4 linked regions of the Canis lupus familiaris genome follow. The protein of the gene in region 1 interacts with the protein of each later gene in a biochemical or structural test. Links are inferred from orthologs where the notes say so. Each region holds a gene or a part of one and is shown on either strand. Other genes may lie near its edges.

The links. The genes of interacting proteins can lie anywhere in the genome.
Region 2: the proteins of DOK1 (region 1) and CRKL form a complex in vitro, tested with the Homo sapiens proteins (2 studies listed by BioGRID, with this or other methods). The link is inferred for Canis lupus familiaris from reciprocal best matches to the Homo sapiens genes DOK1 and CRKL.
Region 3: the proteins of DOK1 (region 1) and FGR form a complex in vitro, tested with the Homo sapiens proteins (2 studies listed by BioGRID, with this or other methods). The link is inferred for Canis lupus familiaris from reciprocal best matches to the Homo sapiens genes DOK1 and FGR.
Region 4: of the proteins of DOK1 (region 1) and LYN, one has a biochemical effect on the other in vitro, tested with the Homo sapiens proteins (2 studies listed by BioGRID, with this or other methods). The link is inferred for Canis lupus familiaris from reciprocal best matches to the Homo sapiens genes DOK1 and LYN.

Annotation. Positions count from the first base shown.
Region 1 is NC_049238.1:49,088,926-49,094,421, forward strand, and holds DOK1 (docking protein 1), read right to left. Parts: upstream 3,613-5,496; 5' UTR 3,512-3,612; coding exon 3,452-3,511; intron 3,210-3,451; exon of another isoform or gene 3,115-3,209; coding exon 2,815-3,114; intron 2,668-2,814; coding exon 2,574-2,667; intron 2,368-2,573; coding exon 2,183-2,367; intron 1,911-2,182; coding exon 1,098-1,910; 3' UTR 654-1,097; downstream 1-653. UniProt on the Homo sapiens protein: DOK proteins are enzymatically inert adaptor or scaffolding proteins. They provide a docking platform for the assembly of multimolecular signaling complexes. DOK1 appears to be a negative regulator of the insulin signaling pathway.
Region 2 is NC_049247.1:30,710,938-30,715,991, forward strand, and holds part of CRKL (crk-like protein), read right to left. Parts: intron 1,632-5,054; coding exon 1,497-1,631; 3' UTR 1-1,496. UniProt on the Homo sapiens protein: May mediate the transduction of intracellular signals.
Region 3 is NC_049223.1:72,079,578-72,084,631, reverse strand, and holds part of FGR (tyrosine-protein kinase Fgr), read right to left. Parts: intron 2,549-5,054; coding exon 2,445-2,548; intron 2,200-2,444; coding exon 2,050-2,199; intron 1,369-2,049; coding exon 1,213-1,368; intron 1,136-1,212; coding exon 956-1,135; intron 383-955; coding exon 306-382; intron 59-305; coding exon 1-58. UniProt on the Homo sapiens protein: Non-receptor tyrosine-protein kinase that transmits signals from cell surface receptors devoid of kinase activity and contributes to the regulation of immune responses, including neutrophil, monocyte, macrophage and mast cell functions, cytoskeleton remodeling in response to extracellular stimuli, phagocytosis, cell adhesion and migration.
Region 4 is NC_049250.1:7,934,794-7,939,847, reverse strand, and holds part of LYN (tyrosine-protein kinase Lyn), read right to left. Parts: intron 3,839-5,054; coding exon 3,707-3,838; intron 1-3,706. UniProt on the Homo sapiens protein: Non-receptor tyrosine-protein kinase that transmits signals from cell surface receptors and plays an important role in the regulation of innate and adaptive immune responses, hematopoiesis, responses to growth factors and cytokines, integrin signaling, but also responses to DNA damage and genotoxic agents.

The DNA.
Region 1 (5,496 bases):
GGAAAACCAGACCTCAGGAGACAAGGATCAGATTTTCAGAGCTCATGAAAAATAAGTATGACCAAAATCTAAGCCTCCAAAGCCTGTGCTCCTCCCAGTATACCCACCACATAGCAGTTCCCTTCAACCCTCAAACAGAAAGATGGTTGATGCTTAGTACCTACAGGTAAAGTGTGTGTGTGCTGGGGCAAGTGGTATCATATAGCTGAGAAAAAGACCTATTGCCTTCCTGTTCCCCTCTGTCCATGCCTGTCTACCTTTCTGTTGGCCCTCTCCATCCATGGAATAACTACCATGTATAAAATGCTTAATCTTGTGCTTCAGACTGCATTAAGTACTTGAGAAACTTAACTCCTTTCATACAAATAGCCCTGTGAAGTAGAGTCTGTTGTTGGGTTTTTCCTATTTTACAGAGGGGCACCGAGGGCAAATGAGAGTTGCAGATGTTTTAGAGCTCGCCCAGCATCACAGAGACAGTCTCAAGCCCAAGTGGGCCTCACTGGACCACCGAGGCTCTCAACAATCACACTGCTCAGCTCACCTCCCTGAGACTCCTTCCTCTTTATGTGGCCCCCAGTACATTCTCCTGACCCCTCCACACCAACCCAGCACACCCTGCCACCATGTCCCATCTGTGACTATTCACACACATAGACCTTTTAAACCCAAGCTGACTTTAATGAGAATAAACTTCTTAAAATCTGTCTCTGGCAAAGAACAAAACAGGGGTGACGATCCAGGCACAGTCCAGCATCACCCTGTAGCCTCCATTCAGCCCCCTCAAACTGTACCAACCCAGACAAAGCCCCCATTGTCATAGACCTGGTCCAGCAGCTGTCCATTCCTTTGGGGAGGATGACTTGGGGGTGCTGGTCTCTCTCAGGCCCCATCCTTCACCTCTGCCATCTGTCCCACTTCCAGGACTTCTTGAGATTGATCATCCTTCCCCTGACTCCCCTGATCCCTCTGGTCCCCTGGGCTGGCTTACAGGGGACCCTCCAGCCCTCTGGTTCCTGCAGGCTCTAATACGTTTCTTTGATCCCCAGTACCACCTCCCTGTGGGGGTCCTATCAGCAACCCCCGCCTCACCCTACCTCTCACGTGGAGCCTTCTGCCTGGACTCCAGTCCTGTTAGCCCCTGCTCTAGACAGCTCACAGTCCCAGCTTCCTGAGGCACTGCTCTTCTGGACCTGGCTGTACAAGGCAGTGTCTGCGCTGTGGCCCTTGCTGCCATTGCCCATTGCAGCTCCAGGTTCAGAGAGGGCTAAGCCCCGGGGCTTAGGACCTGGGAGAGGCTTTGTGCTCCGAGGAGGTGGCACCTCGTAGTCATCAGTGGCAGGGTTGTAGGGGAGCTCATAACCCTCCTCCTTCACCCGAGCCTGGCACCACCATGCATCCTTGGGCTCCTGAGGCAGATCATAAAGGCCCCGGAGAGCAGCTGGGGCCAAGCCCTCAGGTTCATCATAGATGGGGTCCTCTTTGGGGTCCGTCAGCTTGGCCTTCAGCAACTGCTGCTGCACGTGCTGGTACAAGTCCCAATAAAGAGGTTTCTTCAACTGTACTCCCTCCCCTGCCTGAGCAGCAGTACTGTCCAAGGGGTCTGAGTACAGGGAATCCTGGGAAGGGCCTGGAGGAATGCGCAGAGAGTCTAAGGGTTCAGCATACAGGGCAGGAGGGCTGCCCAGGAGCTCCTGAGGGCCAGGCGGGGATGCCAGCGTCCCCTCTGCCACTTCTCCTTCGTGGGAGTCGGCTTTCAGACTCTCCTGCCCTTGACCTTCCTTTCCCTGGACCTTCTGCCGATGAATAGCAGTCTCAACTGCCTGAAAGATGTCATTCCCCTGTGCTGTCTGGAAGGTAAAGGTTCCAGGGCCTGAAGGGCAGCGGCGACCAGCCTCAAAAGAGAACATGACCTGAAGAAGGTGTGGAGGAAAACACATTACCAGGAGCCAGGAGAGGAGATGAGTCACAGGGCTTGTCCTAGTTACAGAGGATCTACAAAGAAAAAACTATTTGCGGGGGGGGGGGGGGGGGGGGGGGGCGCACAGGCAGAGGTCACAGGCTAGGCAAGGAAGGGTTACCGGGAGGACAGAACTCGCCATCTTCTTGTCCTGCCCCACCCCACCCACCCATCCCACAGTTATCCCGACCTGGGATGCCCATTCTCCCCGACAGCCCCCTGCACCTTGTCCCGGCCATAGCGGCGCAACAGAGTGTAAGGCCAGAAAAGGAGTGGCTCCAGTATCTGAGTCTGCGCCCCGACGGTCAGGAGAGTCAGCTTCTCAGCCTCCACTCTCAGCACATAGGAGCCATGCAGGCCACAGCGCTCAGCGGCTTCTGTCCTCTGCACTGTTACCCAGAACTGGGATCCTGTAAAGAATACACAATTAGATGGGCACCCAACAGACTGCTGGGTGAGAGGGCTGGGGAGGTGGGGACGGGTTGTCCAAGCACTCACTTGGAAACCAGCTTCAGGGGCTTCCTATTCCCCATGGGTCCCTGACCCTTTAACCACTCTCTTCTCAAGGCACCCGTCCTTTCCACCCCATCCCTCCGCAGGCTTCTCAGGCATCTACCTTCCCAGGTGGGACTATACAGCGAGTTCTCCAGCATCTCCAGGGCAGAAAGCTTGGGTGGGTTTTCCGCAGGCGCCAGAGCCCAGCTGCCTTTCTGGGGTAAAGAGAGGGAGTATCGAGATCCCTGCAATTCCCTCACCGCTGTTCCCGGGGTCCGAGCCAGCCGCGGCCCTCGGCTCCTGTAACCGCCCCCACCCCCGTCGCCTCTTGGGTCCACGGCGTTTCGCCCCAGCCCCCTCACCGGAAAGGCGTTTCGGCACAGGGTCTGCACCCAGGCGGCGCTGGACGGCGCGTCGGCCGCCAGCAGGTGGGAGCGCTGCGCGGTGTCCAGGCGGAAAGCCGCGGCGCCAGGCTCGGGGGGGCTGTCCACGGCCACAGGGACCACGCTCACACACTCCGCCAGGCGGATCACCTTGCAGTCCAGGCGGCGCGAGCCCCCTCGGCCCCCTCCATTGTTCGACCCCTTGTGGTCAAAAAACTCGAGGCGCGCCACGCCGTGGGGACTGGCAGGATAGAGCACAGCCCAGGTCTTCCTCCACCTCTGGGAAGAGAGAGCGAGAGACGCTGGCGAGGGAGCGGGCGAGCACCGGCGGCCCGGCCCCGACGGGACAGGAGACCCGCGCAGGCCGACTGCAGGTCTGCAGCTTCCCCACCGGGGCGCAGTTTCCCGAGAAGGAAGCCGCTCCGTCCGCCCAGAACCGGGGGGTGGGGGGGTACCCCGAGGCCAGCGGACGCTTCTCCCGGGTGGGAAATCAACTCCGCGGGAACGTCACGGGGTCTACAGCTCCCGCCCCGCGCTCCAACCCGCTGCCGCCCCCGCGGGCTCCACAGCCCCCTCCTAGGTCTGCAGGCGCGCGGCGACCCCTGCCCCGGGCTACCTTGGTACCGAAACGCTGACTTTGCAAAAACAGCGGCCCTTCCATCACGGCCCCGTCCATGGCCCCCGGCGGTTCCTTCCGCGCTTCCTGGCCCCGCGGGCTAGAGGCGGGGCGGGGCGGGGCCGGGCCTCCCGGGGCGTTCCGCCCCTCCCCCGGCCTCCGCGGGCCGCCGAGCGGGAGCGAGCAGAGCAGCCTGAGGGAAGGCGCGGGGGTCCGTAGACGGGGTGGGCCGCGCGCCACCTTCAGACCCCGGCCCACCGGCCCGAGGCCCGCACAAGTGCTCCGCCAAGGGAAGCCTCGAGGCTTCGGCCACGGGGCTCTGGCGCCCGGGCTTACGGGCCGGGTAGGATGTCATATGCTCAACGTGACATCAGAGTGAAGGCCGTGACGTCACCCCGAAAATGCCAGTGGGCACCCTGGGGCACCGAAGGGCTGAGGCGGGCCTTCTTCGCCTCAGTTCGCCTGACCGGATCCGCCCCCAGCCCGGCTGGAGTCCGGCTGTTTACACTCCGCGGAGCCCGGGACGTGGGGGAAGGGCTGGGGACTGGGGACTGGAAGGCTTCCCGGAGCCCCGAGCTGAGCCGCGGCCTCCCGCCGCCCCAGGGGCCGCCGCCCGGGCCGGTCCGCGGCCCCGTGGCCTCTTGCGTGTCCAGCTCCGTGACCGCAGCCGCGCGGCCTCCAGCCCGCGGGAAAAGAAAGCTTCATTGAGCAGGCCGGGAGGAGGGGCGGGGGCGGGGGCGGGGGGAGGTGGGGCGGCCGCGGCCAGCTCCACGGGGGAGGGGAGGACCAAAAGGAGAAGAGGAGGGAACTGGCCGGGGAGGAATCGAGGAGGAAGGCGGAATGTGGGAGGGCTCAAGGAGACGTGGGAGGGACAAAAGGAGAGGGGGGAGGAAGGGGGGGTCCAGTCTCCCCTGGCCGAGCACTTTTTTTGGGAAGTCCTAGGACTGATCTCCAGGACCTGGACTCTTCTCCCAGCACCTAGGGCCCCGCTCAGCCAAAGGTAGGGCGAGTCACGCTGCTGCGGCAGAAAGGGGAGTTTCGGATGGCGAGGATGGTGAAGGGACCACGGAAAAGGGGTGATGCAGGATGGGGTCGAAGGGAAACCAACCAACAGAGGGCTTTTAGCATTGTTAGCGTGAGACACAGTAGAGTGGAGAGAGGAGGCAGATATTTGGCGGGTGGGGGGCTGCAGGGTGTTCCAAATAGGGCTGCTGCCAGGGCCCTAAGGCTAGAGGCTCCTCTGTGAGGACCTACCCCTGGGCCCCCAAGCCAGAATGTCCCCAGAACAAAGCTGTCCTGTTGTGTTGTTTGTTTGAGTTGGGGAAAGCATGTTCCAGGGGCCCCTTGCTGGAGAGGGGCTGTTCTCAGCCCCAGACAGAGGGAAGGCCTTGGCTGAGGAGCTCATTGGCACCCTGGCCTCCGGTTGCCCTGAGACAGCACTGTTGGCAGGAGGTCTGGACAACCCCACCCCGCTCTCCCTCCCAGCCTGAGGCCTGGCCCTCCTGGGCCCCTTGACCCTGCAGGGTATGTGAGAGCCTATGTGCTGATAGGGTGTGCAGGGGGTTCTCCACGCATCCTGGTCTCTGCCCTCTGCGGTGGAATCTACCCACACAGGACTCTGAGCTTGACTTCCCATCAGGGAACCGAAGATCTGAGGGTCTCCTAAGCCCCCTCGCCTGCTTCTCTCCACAACCAGTAGCTATCTGCCCTCTGTCTGACTGGCTGAATGGGGTCGTCTGGGTCCCTCCCACAACCCCTCCTTGGCTCCAGCCAGTCCCTCTCCTCACCTGTTGCCCGAGTCTGACCATTGCTGTGTGCCGCTGGCCATCTCACGGTCACCTTCTGTCCATCTTCCACACTGTCGCTCTCTGCCATCTCTCTCTGTTCAGTCCTCTTTCGTTCCCACAGTAGTTTCCTTTCCTCTCACATCCTGTCTGGGTCTCCCTCTTGCCCAGTCTTTATCTCTTTCTCTCAACCATTCTCTGCCTCTTGGTCTCTAATCACTGTCTTGATTTCTGGGTCCCTTAGACTAGTGGGTGGGGTAA
Region 2 (5,054 bases), on another chromosome or scaffold:
TATACATATACTGCTCTAATTCAAAACCTAAGACCGTTAGGAGACAGGGCCAGGGCTATAGCAGCCGCTCAGCAAATGATGCAGTCACTCACTCAGTAGGTGGCTGCTACATTTCCAGGTCTGCTGTATTCATTCTGAGCTGAGGCATGTCTTCATCAGTTTCCAGAAGGGAGAGCAGACTGAACTGCATGAAGGTTCCAGAATCCTAGTCTGCTATGTACACCAGACAACGAATCAGCCACACCTTTGTACCCAGCTGGCTTGTGTGAATAGCCCTCTTTTAGCTAACAAGGAAATGTTTACATCAAATTGCTAAATCGCTAATGGTTCTCCCAAGTCACTAAAATCTTAGACATCAGATGCATTAACCAATTTCCAGAACTTGAACTTTCTTTGCCTGGGAGCATCTCAGACACAGAGACTGGGGAACCAGTATTAGCAGCACCATCTTTCTCTGGCAGCTTTGTGAGCTTGGCCTGCAGCAGCGAGGAGTGAGCCTCAGTGAGTAGAATTTAGATTCATTAATGAAGTCAATGATTCTATGAACAACCTCACTTTTTAAAGAAATTTAATTCCTATACCTTAAAGGGGTGTATTCACTGAAACACTGGACAGAAAACTAGCCAAGTGCTTTCCCCCATTGTTCCTGTCATCACTGACAAAGTAAGCAAAGTCTTCCCCAAATCACCCCCTACTCTGGTGCTTTTGGGGAAAATGTAATCCAAGGAGCCAGGCACACAAGCTTGGCACATTACAACTGACTTTTGTGGGTTGTTTACTACACGGCAAAACAGGTACAACTGGCAGCCAAGACAATAAAGGCCTCTGCTTCAGGGTTGTGTTTTGTTTTGTTTTTCCATATTCCTTTAGTTACAGCAGCTTCAGTTTGGGAAGCTCAGAGGCACGTGTCATTCCTTACAATATCACAAAAATCCAACCTGCTACTTAAAAACCTGTTCAGAACACACAAGTCTAATTAAGTCTTCCAAAACCAAACGAAAAGGAAAAAAGAGCCAGATTTGGGGAGTTTAGGACAGAATTCCCTCTTCTTTAAGGTCCATTTGCTCTGTTCTTCAAAGGAAAAACAAAACGGCGACTGAACCATTGCTTTGTGGAACAGCAACGTGCAATGTCTCACCATGGCCTCAAGCTCCATCTGATGAACATGACAGAAATCAGTCACAAGTACAAACAGGGCAGTGACGAGAAGACCGACCCTTTCCTCATCAACTTCTCTCCACTTGTGTGCTTCCACCAGTATATCCAGTTTATGATCCAAAAGAACTCTAATATCTGCTACTCTTTGACAATACGACTATGATACAAATGCCGAGGCAGCCACTGTGCATTCCAAATGTGTATGAGAGACCGCCACTCTGCAGAAAGCTGGACATCGGCAATGCAGTGTAACTTGCCTATGAGAGAGAATGCTTTCCCACTTCAAAGGAGACTATGACAGGCAGAACAAGGAAGCAGCAGGAAACAGGCAACAGCAATCACTCGTTTTCATCAGGGTTTTGAGGGTCAATGATTTTGACATGCGTAAAGGGGAAAAGCCCTTTGCGCCCATTCACTTCGCCTTCCCATTGGCCATTTATATTCATCCTTGTGACTTTCACAATGTCACCAACCTGTAAGGATGGAGAAAGAAGACACAGTCAGCATTTTCTCTGCAAACTAAAAAAAAAAAAAAAAAAAAAGTTTAACCCATATATACTGTTCTATCCAAAGGAACCTATAGAATTTTTAAAGTTTTTTTTTTTGGGGGGGTGCATAAACCTAAAATCAAGCAGTGCCAAAGACACAATGTGGGGGGACCTGGGTGGTCAGTGGTTGAGAATCTGCCATCAGCTCAGACTGTGATCCTGGGGTCCTGGGATCGAGTTCGGCATCAGGCTCCCCAGAGGGAGCCTGCTTCTCCCTCTGCTTCTGTCTCTGCCTCTTTCTCTCTGTGTCTCTGATGAATAAATAAAAATCTTAAACAAAAACAAAAACAAAGACACAAGGTGCTACCATAAGCGTGCTGTCCTCCTCAGCTGGTGAGAATGTGTATTAAGTGAAGGACCTTCTAAAAAAAAAAAAAAAAAAAAAAAAAAAAGAAAAAAAAAAAAAAAAAAAAGTGAAGGACCTTCTGAGCATAAAAGCAACTTTTCTCCCTATGTCAGTTATTAACTCCCAACAGGAAAGAAATGAACACTTAACTACTCTCAGGATGGTTGAAGTGAAATCACACACAAAAAAAGGGTATTAAAAAAAAAATCTATCTCCACCCTAATATACATGGGGTGGAAATGCTGTCACCAACAAGACCTCAGTTACCAAGCCACCCCCCCCTCTCCTGCCCCAGGCAGCAATAATGTCTCCCTGATTTGTCCATTGCCTGCTCCTCTGTGGGGCCATCACAGGGAAAGGAAGCCCAACTCTGGGCATCTATCTTTTTCAGCCTACTTTAAACTTCAGGGTGGGGGGAATTCTATCTATTGTGAGAGGACAGGCACCAGTTAGGGACTGCCCCACTCATTAAGGAGAAGGCAGGAATTTTGTTTTGGAAGTGGTTTTCAAATTGTTCTGGAGACCCACAGAACTCTAGGGAGGTATTTTAAGGGCCCAACAAGTGTCTGGGCTTTCAACTTTTTAAACCTTTATTTATAAAGTTATAATAGAAAAAAGTATACTGAAATGCACCACTGCTAAACTAACCTGTGCTGCCTGCTACCTGCTTTTCATGCAGATCTCTCTTGGAATTAAACTGCTTTCATCATGTATTTGAAGACTCCCCCCAAATGACAAGGTAAAGGTTAAAAGATTCCTATCACTGCTCCAACAACACACATTCAGAAATAACCTGGGTGCTGAAGTGGATATCAGACTGCATCTATCATTCATATTATTTCCAATTTTTCCTGCCCATTTTAACAGTTAACTGTCCTGACTTTTTATTTTTTTTTATTTTTAATTTTTATTTATTTATGATAGTCACAAGAGAGAGAGAGAGAGGCAGAGACACAGGCAGAGGGAGAAGCAGGCTCCATGCACCGGGAGCCCGACGTGGGGTTCGATCCCGGGTCTCCAGGATCGCGCCCTGGGCCAAAGGCAGGCGCCAAACCGCTGCGCCACCCAGGGATCCCCCTGTCCTGGCTTTTTAGCAAATTCTTAGAAATCTCAACTTTAAATTTTTTTTTTAACTTTGAAAATTTCATTGGGAAAAAAGGGTCTTCTGCTAAAACTATGGTCCAGCAAGCTTGACTACTAGCCTGGATTCCAGAGGGGACAATGCAGCTTTAGAAGTCCACCGGCACACAGCTCTGCTGGCACACTTCATGTGAATTGTGCCAGAATGGCTTTGCTGCCATTCGTGTGAAGGCCGACCTCCTTCCTCCTGCCCCATCCCTGCTCCAACCCCCTGAAGCTCAGAGGTGTTGGGCCCAGCCCCATCGCCTCTCTTGGTTACCAGGGAGGTCAATGCCCTCTGAGGAAAAGGAGGTATGTTTTCTGAGGCAAATATGAAAGTCATTTGGATTAGTTTATGAGATGGCTAAGACTCAAGCAGAAACACTAAAATCCAGTAATGTGGTTGTTTAAACATAGGTATCTATAAAACAGAACAAAACAAGAAACAAAAAGCTAAAACAAAAGGGATGCCTGGGTGGCTCAGCTGTTTGGGGGTCTGACTCTTGGTTTCAGCTCAGGTCATGAACCCAGGGTCCTGGGATCGAGCCCTGCATTGGGCTCCCTGCTTGTGGGGTGTCTGCTTCTCCCTCTCCCTCTGCTAGTGCACGCTCTCTCTCTCTCAAATAAACGAATGTCTTGGGATCCCTGGGTGGCGCAGTGGTTTGGCGCCTGCCTTTGGCCCAGGGCACGATCCTGGAGACCTGGGATCGAGTCCCACATCGGGCTCCCAGTGCATGGAGCCTGCTTCTCCCTCTGCCTATGTCTCTGCCTCTCTCTCTGTGACTATCATAAATAAATAAAAATTAAAAAAATAATAAATGAATGTCTTTAAAATAAACAAATCCTCAAAAACCAAACCAAACCAAAAAAAAAAAAAAAAAGGTAAGGTGCATAAAATGAGGAAAACTTCAATTAACAGAGACCTAAACTCTAGACTCCAACACCTATTTAGACCATGGTCCAAACAGAAGATCAGCCCTTTCTTTTTAAGATTTTATTTATCCATTGGCCGGGGTGGGGGTGGGGGTGGGGGCACCAGCGACAGTGAGCAGTGAGGGAAAGGGAGAGAAAATGAAGCTGACTGAGCACAGAGCCTGACATGGGGCTTGATCTCCCAACTCTAAGATCATGACCTCAGCTGAAACCAAGAGTTGAACGCTTAACCAACTGCACCACCCAGGCAACCCAAGATCAGCCATTTCTAAGACAGCATCAAGAAATTTATAGGGGGGGTTTACAGACATGTTGCCCCAAGATTTTATTTATGAGATAGAGAGCACACGAGCAGAGTGAGAGGCAGGAGAAAAGACTCCCCGCTGGGCAGAGAGCTTGATGTGGGGCCTGATCCCAGGACTCCAGGATCATGACGAGAGGTGGAGGCAGATGCCCAACCCACTGAACCATCCAGGCACCCCCAGGCCTGTTTTGCTTTGTTTTGTTTTTTCAATTCAATGGACACCATGAGTCAGGGACCCTTTTTCACAGAGGTTTTTACTTGCAGAGCTTCTTCAGAGTTGTTATTATTACTCTTGATCCCCAATGTACACTAACGTTCTATAAGGCAAGGCAGGCTGACACAACAGATCTAAGAGTCTGAACCTCTCCATCATCACAAAGTGCTGGTTTATCACAAAGCAGAGGTAAAAACCAAGGAGCATCCAGTGCTGGTCATCTGTGTTCTTGCCACCTTGCAGAGTGTAAAGGCAGCATGGCCTACCTGTGCCTAGGACCACTCAACCTTCCACTTTCAGCCTCTTCTCACCGAGACACTCACTGCGTTTAATGGTCTATCTTCACAACTTCCCCTCGTGATCGCAGACTGACTGCTCTGAATTTTCTACCTCTCTGCTCTCCATTTTTTATTCTACCATTTTACTTGTGAT
Region 3 (5,054 bases), on another chromosome or scaffold:
CTCTCAGGTCCCGGTGGATGTAGTTCATACGTTCCATGTAGGCCATGCCCTCAGCTACCTGGGGGGGGGGGGGGGGCCAAGGTATGGACAGATGGGAACACCATGGCTTGTACATGAGGTCACTTGAAAACCCCACTTTCCAGATGAGGAGACTGAAGCTCAGAGAGGAGCATTGCCCTGCCTCAGGTAGCACAGATGATCCAGTGGATGGGACTGTACTTCCAGGGGCAAGTGTTTAAGGGCACAGGGGTTTCCGGAGGTTAATAGGAGGGCAGTCTGAGATAAAGGCTGCTGTCCCAGTTTACCTGGGCTGCCATATCCACCAACTGGGGCAGTGTCAAATCCTGGCCTTTCCGGTCCTTGAGGAACTCCAGCAAGCTACCTGAGGAAAGGAACTCAGAAAATCAGCGGCAAGACTACCCCCAGCTCCAAGCCAGCCTTCCCTCGCTTGGCCCCGCCCCCAGCCAGGTTCCTTCTCACCCAGCTTGGCCCCGCCCCCTGGCCCCAGCCCTCTCCCTTAGACCCGCCCCCACTCGGGATCCAGCCAGCTGCCTCAGACCCTCACAGATCTCGCCCAGGACCCGCTCCCACAGACACCCAGACTCAGCCCACAGCTCGTTTCTTCCCTGCCTCCGTCCCCCTAGACACGCCCCACTCAGACTCCGCCCCAGATCCTCCCTCATCCCAGATTCGGTCTCCGCTCCCCCAAACCCCACCCACCAACTGACCACCCCGCCCCCAGCGACCGAGGCTCCGCCCCCAGCCCCGGCCCCTAGCCCGGTCTAAATATGGGCCCGCCTCCACTCTCAGGACTCACGTGGTTTCCCTCACCCCGGCCTCACTCTCGGACTCTGCCCAAAGTCCCCTGTCCCATCACAGATCGCCACTCGGGTCCCTCCCCCAGAGACACCTCTCTGAACACCCCCGGACTCCGCCTCCTGACCCCGCCCCTCACCGTGGCACATGAACTCGGTCACGATGTAGATGGGCTCCTCCGACACCACGGCGTACAGCTGCACCAGCTTGTCGTGCCGCAGCAGCTTCATGATCTGCGCCTCCGCCAGGAAGGCCTTCGGGGACATGGTTCCCGGCTTCAGCGTCTTCACCGCCACCTTCGTGCTGCCGTTCCACATGCCTGCCAGGTGGTCGTGGTTCGTCAGCACCGGCTCCCGGTTGTCCCAAGCCCGCGCCCCGCCCCCGGGACCTCCGTACCCAGCCACACGTCCCCGAAGCAGCCGGTGCCCAGCCGGCGCTCGAGCGCGATGGAGCTGCGGCTAATCTCCCAAGCATCCTTGGCCAGGCCCATTGTCTGCGGCTTCATGGTGGTGCAGGCCACCGAGAGCAGGTGGCAGAGCCCGTCGTTCACCTCTGGCGGGGGTGGGGGGTGGGGGGCTGTTGCAGGTAGTGGGCAGGCCAGGACGCCCCACCCATTCCTCATCCTGTCCCAGGCGCAGCCCTTCCCCTGCTCCCCTCCCCCATCAGTGGAAAGGAACTAGGCCACAGGGGAGGTCACACGCCGGGGCCAAAGGCAACCTGACCCACTGAGTAGGTGAACATGTTGGTGCCCAGGGAAGGAAGGATGATCCCCTGCAGGGTTTGGAGTCCTCTCCATAGGAGGTGGCCTCCAGCTGGGCCTTCAGGGTTAAGGTGGGATTCTGACAGGTAGAAATGAGTTGGGGATTCGAGACAGTGGTGTGGACATGAGGCCCTCGCCCTTCCCTGCACCTCACCTTTGGTATAACTAAAGCAGAAACCTGGGCATTGATTCCCAGCTTCCTCTCAACCCTACAGCCCATCCTCCAAGTCAGGTCTATTTGGCTTCCTGCCCAGCTAGACATTAGGGGGCGCCCTTCTGACGTGGACAGTCTCACACCTGTTCCCTCTGGAATCCTACAGAGCAGGATCCTGGGCTGGGAACCCAAACCCTTGGTTTCCAGTTTTGCTCCAGCCACTACTGCTTTGGGAACCCCTTTCCTTCTCTGGCCCTAATTCTTAGTGGGTTAGTTCAGGGACCCAAAGCACACACCAGCCCTGGAAGCCAGCCCTCACCCATGTAATGCTGTACCAGCTCCTGCACCGAGTGGAACTGGGCCCGTGTGGTGATGTAGTAGCCGCCCGTGTCCAGTTTGCGAATTTTGTAATGCTTCACATGGTCGCCTCTGGTCTGGTCCCAATCCCGGATGGACAGGGAGTAGGCACCTGTGGGCAAGGGTTGTTTTCGAGTCTGCTTTCCTCCTCGCTCATCATTTTGGAGCCTGAGACACCCAAATGCCTGGGGACTCAGAACTTGGATGGCCACATCCCTTGAACTCGGTCCTAGTCAAATCTCTGAACCTCCACCCCTGTCCCATCTGCCCACTCCCCCATGACCCAAGCCCCTCACCACTGTTCCTAGCCCCACCCTAACAGCTGAGCTTCCCATTTGCCCCTTCCCAGGCCCCCACCTTTGGTAGTCTCACTCTCACGAATAAGAAAGGCCCCCCGGGGGTTCCCAGGGGAGAGCAGCTGCCTCTCAGCATCCTTCCTCCCGATCTTTCCAAAGTACCACCTGTTGGGAAGGGCCAGCAAGAGTCAGATACACCCAGATACACCCAGTTCAACCCACAACTCAGCCTCCTGGGGAAAAACCACCTCACTAGCCAAGATTCAATTTCCTCACTCTTGAAATGGGGCTCATACACCTGCTTCACAGCCCGGCCCGTGAGGTGCACAGAGACCAGGAATGTGGAATGCTTGGCTTGTGGTAGCCACCCAGTAAAGGTTAGACTTCTCTCCACTCTCTGGGTTTCCCTTCAACTAAAATCACTAGGACCCCAGTCACTAGTGACCTCATCAGGGTGCTACCAGTTTCTGAATGCATCTCACTACCACTCCTCCAAGGGCTCATTTTGCAGATGTGGAACTTGAGGCTCAGAGAGGAGAAGTGACCTTCCCTCAGGACTGGTTGATGAGGTCTACGTGAAATGCTTTACTTCCCAGCCTAGTTCTTTTCCCACCACCTAGGCAATCTTCTCCCCATCCATCCCTACCCCCAAATCCTTTCCTCCTATGACTTCCAAACAACAGCCTTTCCTGCTTCTCTTCCCCTCTTCATGACTGCTCCTGCCTGGCTCTGACTGCTGGTTTTCCTCCACTCTCTTTAACTTGGATATTCTTATAAAGCTAGATTTCAACCTCAGATGTCAGGCATTCCTTCTTTGTCTTGGATATTTTTCCTAAGACTGAACTGTAGCCTTAAATCAACTGTGAAAATACACTGGGAGAACCAGAGTGGCCCCACAAGTGCCATAGAAGACTCAGATGTCCTTTGATTACAAAATTGGCCAATCTGGGGCGCCTGGCTGCCTTCAGCTCAGGTCATGATCTGGAAGGTCCTCAGCTTGAACCCTGTGTCACTTCCTGCTCAGTGAGGAGTCTGTTTCTCCCTCTCTCACTCTGCTTCTCACCACTAGCTACCCGACCCCCTCCTCACTAGCTCTTATGTGTGTGTGTGTGTGTGCATGCATGTGTGTGCATGTGTGCACTCTCTCTCTCTCAAATAACTAAATAAAATATTTAAAATAAATAAATAAATAAACCAGTTTACACCTGGGTACTGGGCATAATTTGGGGGACAGGAAGGTACTGGCAAGTAGAGTGTCCAGGTGGGCAGGCAGGATGGGGAAAGAGGAACTGTAGAAGGCCTATGTAGACAGGACACATTCGCAAGTTTTTTCAAAGCCGTGCCCCCACCCATACCCATGGGAGTAGTTACCTCCTTAATAATTAATTTAATAATAACAGTACTTATTTTATGTCATGCTCTGCTTTATTTTTTTTTTTCATGCTCTGCTTTAAAACACCTTATATTCATTTAGTTCTTATAACAACGTTGTGAGGTAGGTCCTATTATTAACCTCCATTAGACAGATGAGGAAATTGAGATACCTAGTGGTTAAGCAACTTGCCCAAGGCCACACGCTCTTAAGCTGTGTTGGCCAGAATAGGAACACCAGTTGTCGCTCAATGGCCTGCAGTCTTAACCACAACGCTGCTCTTAACCATGGCACTGCAATGAGTGTCTCTCAGAGCTTCGTGACACTGCTTCTAAGATGCGGACACAAGCATGAACCTCCCACACCTCCCACCTTCTGCATCATCACCCTTCTCTTTTCCATGACTCCTACCACTTTCTCTGGATGAAGGCCTCACCTCCTCTGAGCTCAGGACCCCAACCACTTCCCTTCGCTCAGGGACACCTCTCCCCTACAAACCAGCCCCCACCTGCAGCCTCTCCATCCCACCAACCTCTACATATGCCCACATTTCTTCCTTCCCCCCAAAAAAACTGTTCTAAGCCCTAACTTGCCATCAACATTCTGTTATATCTCTCACCTTCTCTTCACTTGAAAAAGCACTTCACACTTGGGTCTTCACTTCCTCACCTCCTACTCCCTCCCAGGCTCTGCTGTCTGGCCTCCACCCCCACTTCACACAGAGACATCTCTCACCAAGGTCACCCCATTGCCAAATCCAGTGGCAGCCTCTGACACTCCCTTTCTTGTTTCCTGAAACCTCTCCTCCACCCTCTTGGCTGTTCTGACTTGGCTTGGCCTGGTTTCCTAACGGCAACTTCTCTTTCAAGGCAGCTTTCTCCAAAGTTGAGTCCTAGGGCCAATTTCTTTCTCACTCTTCTCCTCTTCCTTCACCCTCCTGTGCAGCTTTAATTGTCACCTCCATCCTGGAGACTCCCAGATTTCTACACCAGCCCAGTTGTGCCCTCTGCAAGAGCTACAGCAAACAAAGAGCCTTAGTGCCAAGTAGGAAAAGATGCCCTCTCCTCTGGGCTAAGTCAGCAGCCTGGCCCTCTCATACGAAGCACAGCCTAATCCAATTCCTGGCAGTGTCCTTCACCTGGGTGTTCTTCTCTACAGACCTCAACTCAGCAAGTCCCCCACCAGAACCCAGGTATCTATACCTGCTCCTGTGTTCCCCACGTTAGCAAATGGCACCATCACCCACTTAGTTCCTCAAGAAGACTTTGGATCACACTTAATTCCTCCTGTTCCTTATAA
Region 4 (5,054 bases), on another chromosome or scaffold:
GCCCAGCCTAACATAGCAAAGACCAATGAAATTTCAGGGATAAAGAGAGATCCTGAGTTCTTCCACAGAAGAAACGAGTTCCAAGACACAGGACAGGATTCAGAAGCCATCCACTTTGGCCAAGCCACGTAAGAAGCCACAACAAGTGGAGGACTTTATAATTCTAGGTGAAAGCTTCAGGTACTAGCATTCATAACATAAGCAAATTTGATAATAGTACTTATTTAGCGATTAAATTTTATCTAGGTAATGGGTGTCTCAAGAAAAAAGTCCTATTTGGGAAAAGTCCTAAGTGTGAATTAGAAGCAGAATATTAACTCTGATGCCTCAAATTTTCATGAGGACCAACTCCGAAGTCATGTACAGCAACATCATGATAAACTGTCTACGAATCCAGTGCTCACTCATCAATGAGAACAAGCAAATTTATAAATGCTAAGGAGAAGGCTTGGAGAAAAGGATTCCTCATAGCTTGGAGCCTAGGGGGGCTAAAAATGTTAAAACAATAGAAACTTGTTGAAATGGACTAACAGTAGTCGAAGACAAAAGGTTTGGGGGATTGGCCCAAAATACAACTGATGAGTGCAAGGCCTTTTTCTAAAAAGAGTGTTAAGAAAAAGACTTTTACTGAATTACATTTGGTGTGCACAGAAGTTAGATGTGTCCGCTCAATGAATCTATTTCAACACAGACACTGCAAAGAGAAAATGACACTCCTACCTTCTACTGCCCTGCATTTAGCATCTGACTACTAGAATTTTGATTAAGTAGCTTCTGCTGGCAAAATTGTATATTTTACTCTCTCATTCCCAAAAGTTTGTTCTCTGTTGGTGATATCAGTTTTGGCACCCAGCCAACATGTGTATTTGATACACCTCTAATCATATCTCCGGATGTTTCTAGAATGTCTCTGTCCAATTCACCAGAAATTGATAACAATGATTCCAATGGGGACAAGGAGAAGGACAGTTGGCTGGAGATGAGGAACAAAAGGCACACCACTTCCACCTATACTTCTTTGTATCTTTTGAATTTAGAACCATGTGGCTGTACTCTTACTTAATGATAAACAAAACAGGGAAAACTTCTTACTTAAGAGATAATAGTATGAGTATAATATTTTTAATTCTGAGCAATGAATATGAGAATATAACAAAAATTCCTGAAAGTCAATGCCTTTGAGGAGCATGAGGCCAGGGAGGCAATTTTTCATTAGAAGTCTTTTTGTACCACCTGATTTTTTTGATACACCATATATCACTTAAACAACTGAAATATTTAATGAAGACATAATTTTTAAAAATGAGAAAAGAAATGGAAACTTCAGAAGCTTATCAAAAATAAATTTTTTAAAGATTTTATTTATTTAAAAATAAAATTAATATAACCTACCATTTCATTGCCCAAGGATAGTTAACATTTTGGTATATTTCATCTTTAGCTTTATATTTCTTTTAAAAAACATGTTTTCACTTTATATCTGACTTCCTTAGTTTTTCTTTGTTTTGTCTCCTCCTTTCTCTTATTCCCATTATTTTGCAAAGCTAGGTGTATAGTCTCTAAATTGCTTAAAAAAAAAAAAACCCAAAGCTTAATGTATCTAGCACTCTTCTGGGTAAAGAAAATATGCCCGGATAACTCAATTATCGGTGCGGTCTCTCCGACAAGCAGTTTCATAACCGTGATGGAAATGGTCCGTGTTGGCAACATTCACTGATTTCTGTGCTACCTGTGTGAATCAAGTCCTCTGATATTTACATCAATAAGATTGTTCAGTTCTGTTCACAACTCCTAAGCTAGAGGCTCTCATGATGTACAACTCTTGCGACTAGACTACCTCAACCATCCAGAGCTCCTGACAGTATCTTGTATCTCCTGTCCTTACAGGGGACAGGCTACCTGGGAAGTGGATCAGTCAGTACTGTTTGGTTGGTCGTACTGTATTTTTTAATTAATTAATTAATTAATTAATTAATTAATACCATTTTTCTACTGCTTTTTTAAAAGATTTTTTTTACCCTAAATATTTATTTTAAAATCCTGGACATTGAGCATAGCAGATGAAAACAAGGGTTTTGTGAGGCCTGGGGTTCAGAAGCAGCTCTGCCGGGAGCTAGTAATTCAGTTCCAGGCAAAAGGCTCCTTCTCTGAGCCTTATGGGCATTGTCTGTGTGTCATTATGGAGCCTGTCAAACATATCACATATCATTTTATGAAGTTAAATGTTTATTTGATCAGATATCAGATTATATGCATAATCTGAAGATACAGAATTTCTCTGTAAATAGATGTAGATTATAGATAAAGATACATAATGTCAGATATCAGGATTGATCAAGAAAATATTTCTTTTTCCTTGTTTTACAGTAATGTTTCTGTTCATTTCAGCATCTAGAGCAGAGTGGCAGTCAGAATATGAAATTTTGGCTCAAGGGGGATTTCATGGCACAGTCAGCCCACTGTGCGGCACCACCCGAAGGCTCTCCCCTCCCCGCTGGCCTCTGGGTCCCTGATTTCTCTATGGTTCATCCCTAGACAGCACTGAGGGAGATCAGGAGCACGAAGGCCACATTGCTGCTCTGTCCCCAAGTTTTTCTCATCCACAGCATGGTGTCTATCAAGATGTTAAATGGCTTAAACCCGTGATTCATTCATCTAGCAAATACCGACACCCAAACCACTGGGCCTCAGGATCCCATATGGTGACTGTCACCTCTGTGGGATGCTCAGCCCTCCTAGACAGCCCTGTGGCTCCCTCTTCCAATCTGCTGCTACAAAGGTCATAGTGTCAAACCAGCATCCATCCTCCTCCTCCTCCACGCTCATCTTTCAATCATAGTGCACCTGCTCCATCTGATAGTTGTTGTCTATCCGACTTTAACCAGTCTCTTCCTACTAGAATATTAGCTCTCAAAGGCAGGAGCTCTCACTGCTGCATCTGGGCATCTCGAGGCCAGCACTCTCAGGTATTTTTCAAATGAAGGAATGATTTAAACATTAAAGATTTAATCTTAAATTCATCATACCCATTGATTTTGTACAAAGCACTAATGTAAAAAGCCTAACAACTACTGTGAAGGCTTTGGGAGAAATGCTTCTTGCATATTTGGGCACAGATCCTGGGAAGAGGGGGTTTCTGGCACAGTCTGACTCCAAGTGCTTTGGGTGTTAGGACTCTAGAGACACTGAATGGATGTCTTTGCATTGGGGAAGTTATGGATTGGAATGACCTTTCACTAATAAACAGACGTGGTTATTTCCCGAAGAGGCAGAGGTTCCAAAATACTTTATACAAATCTCCACTTCAAAACTAACCAGAAAGCACTGTAAACTCTCATTTCTGTGTCTGTTTCCTCCTCTACCAGGTGTTCTGCTTAGGAGGAGCACCATGTCTCACCTTCTAATCCATTGTCCCATCTGCAATACCTGTGGGGGTGTTGGGCCCCTTCTCAGCACCAAGTGATGGAATCCATTGGTGGTGGGAGGCACGGGGAAGAATCCGCATTCAATCAAATAAGAAGGCAGAGAAATGTCTAAGCATTTTTAGAACAACTCCCACCGAAGACCGTCATCTAGAACAAAGTGCTTATTCTTAGCCTTTGGAGATGGGTTTATTTTTTATGCCTCCTGTAAAAGCCATGTGGCTTTTTTTTTTTTTTTTTTCTCATACAGACCACTGGAATGGAAACAAGTAAGTGAATGATACCTGGGTAAGGAATCTTCCCATAGGTGACGATTTCATACAGGAGAATGCCAAAGGACCACACATCAGACTTAATGGTGAAACATCCAAAGTTGATTGCTTCTGGAGCTGTCCACTTAATGGGGAATTTGGCACCTACAGGAGAACACATGTCTTACTTGGGCCTCTGAGATGAAACAAAAAGGTCATGGGCATGTGGCCTTCATACTTTCCTCTTTTGGGGAAAATTTTAATTATTTCCTTTGAGTAACTAATGCATACACATAGTGCAAAACAGAGACGGTACACATGTTATACTGAAAATAGGTGCCTCCCTCCCTGTTTCCCTTTTGGGCATTCCCCTTGCGAGTAGCCAAGTTTCTTTTCTTTTCTTTCTTTTTTTAATTAATTAATTCATTAATTAATTTGAGACAGAGAGATGGAGAGCATGAGTAGCAGGGGAGGAAGAGGAAGAAGCAGACTCCTCACTGACCAGGGAGCCCAATGCAGGGCTCCATCCCAGGACCTTGGGATCATGACCTGAGCTGAAGGCAGAAGCTTAACCAACTGGGCCACCCAGGTGCCCCAAGAAGCAAAGTTTCTTGTGTATCCATAACTAACTTACTTTAAACAAAAGAGCCTGACACAGAATGTAAAGGCATTTGTTTTTAGTTTATATATTTGTCCCTCAATAGCAGCCTCTAAAGCATAAATCTTCAGTGTTCAAATGTTCTCAATGAACCCATACTATGTTATATGGAATATAAATGTCTCTTGATGTGTATATTCTTGCGGACAAATCTCTGTGCGCCCATACCAATAGGGATTTTAGATACTACTCCAAATGTTAAGGTCTCCTGCTTTCATTTGCTCAGCTCAAACATTACTACGTCTAGGAACTGGGGAGCATAATGATCTGCCCAGAAAGAGATATTAATGACACTAGGATTCTTGTGGGGAGCTGGTGAGGCCTAACCTGGCTTGGGGGGTGGGAATCTTGTGGGGGTACCTTGAAGAGAGTAGGGACTCAGGCACAGAATGTTGTCCCTATATCCTGGAAAAGGTTAGGGGGTTCCACCAACCATTTTTAAAAACTTTAAACATGTCTGCTTTTATTAGGTCTTTGCTTTGGAATTTCTTGTGGTGTCAGACCCAAATTGGAAATCCAAACAAGATCAGTAAAGATAGCAGAAAGCCTCATAGAACAGTAGGTATGGTGCAGGGCATGCACTGTTGCACATTCTGGGGATTAAACCCTGCATGGCTGGGTAGCGGCAGGGGGCAGGGTAGGGCCAGGTGGCTCCAGTAGGGACCCCAGTTGTGTGTGGGGGTGGTTAGTCCCACACAGTGCACCCAGTTTGAATCCTGGTTC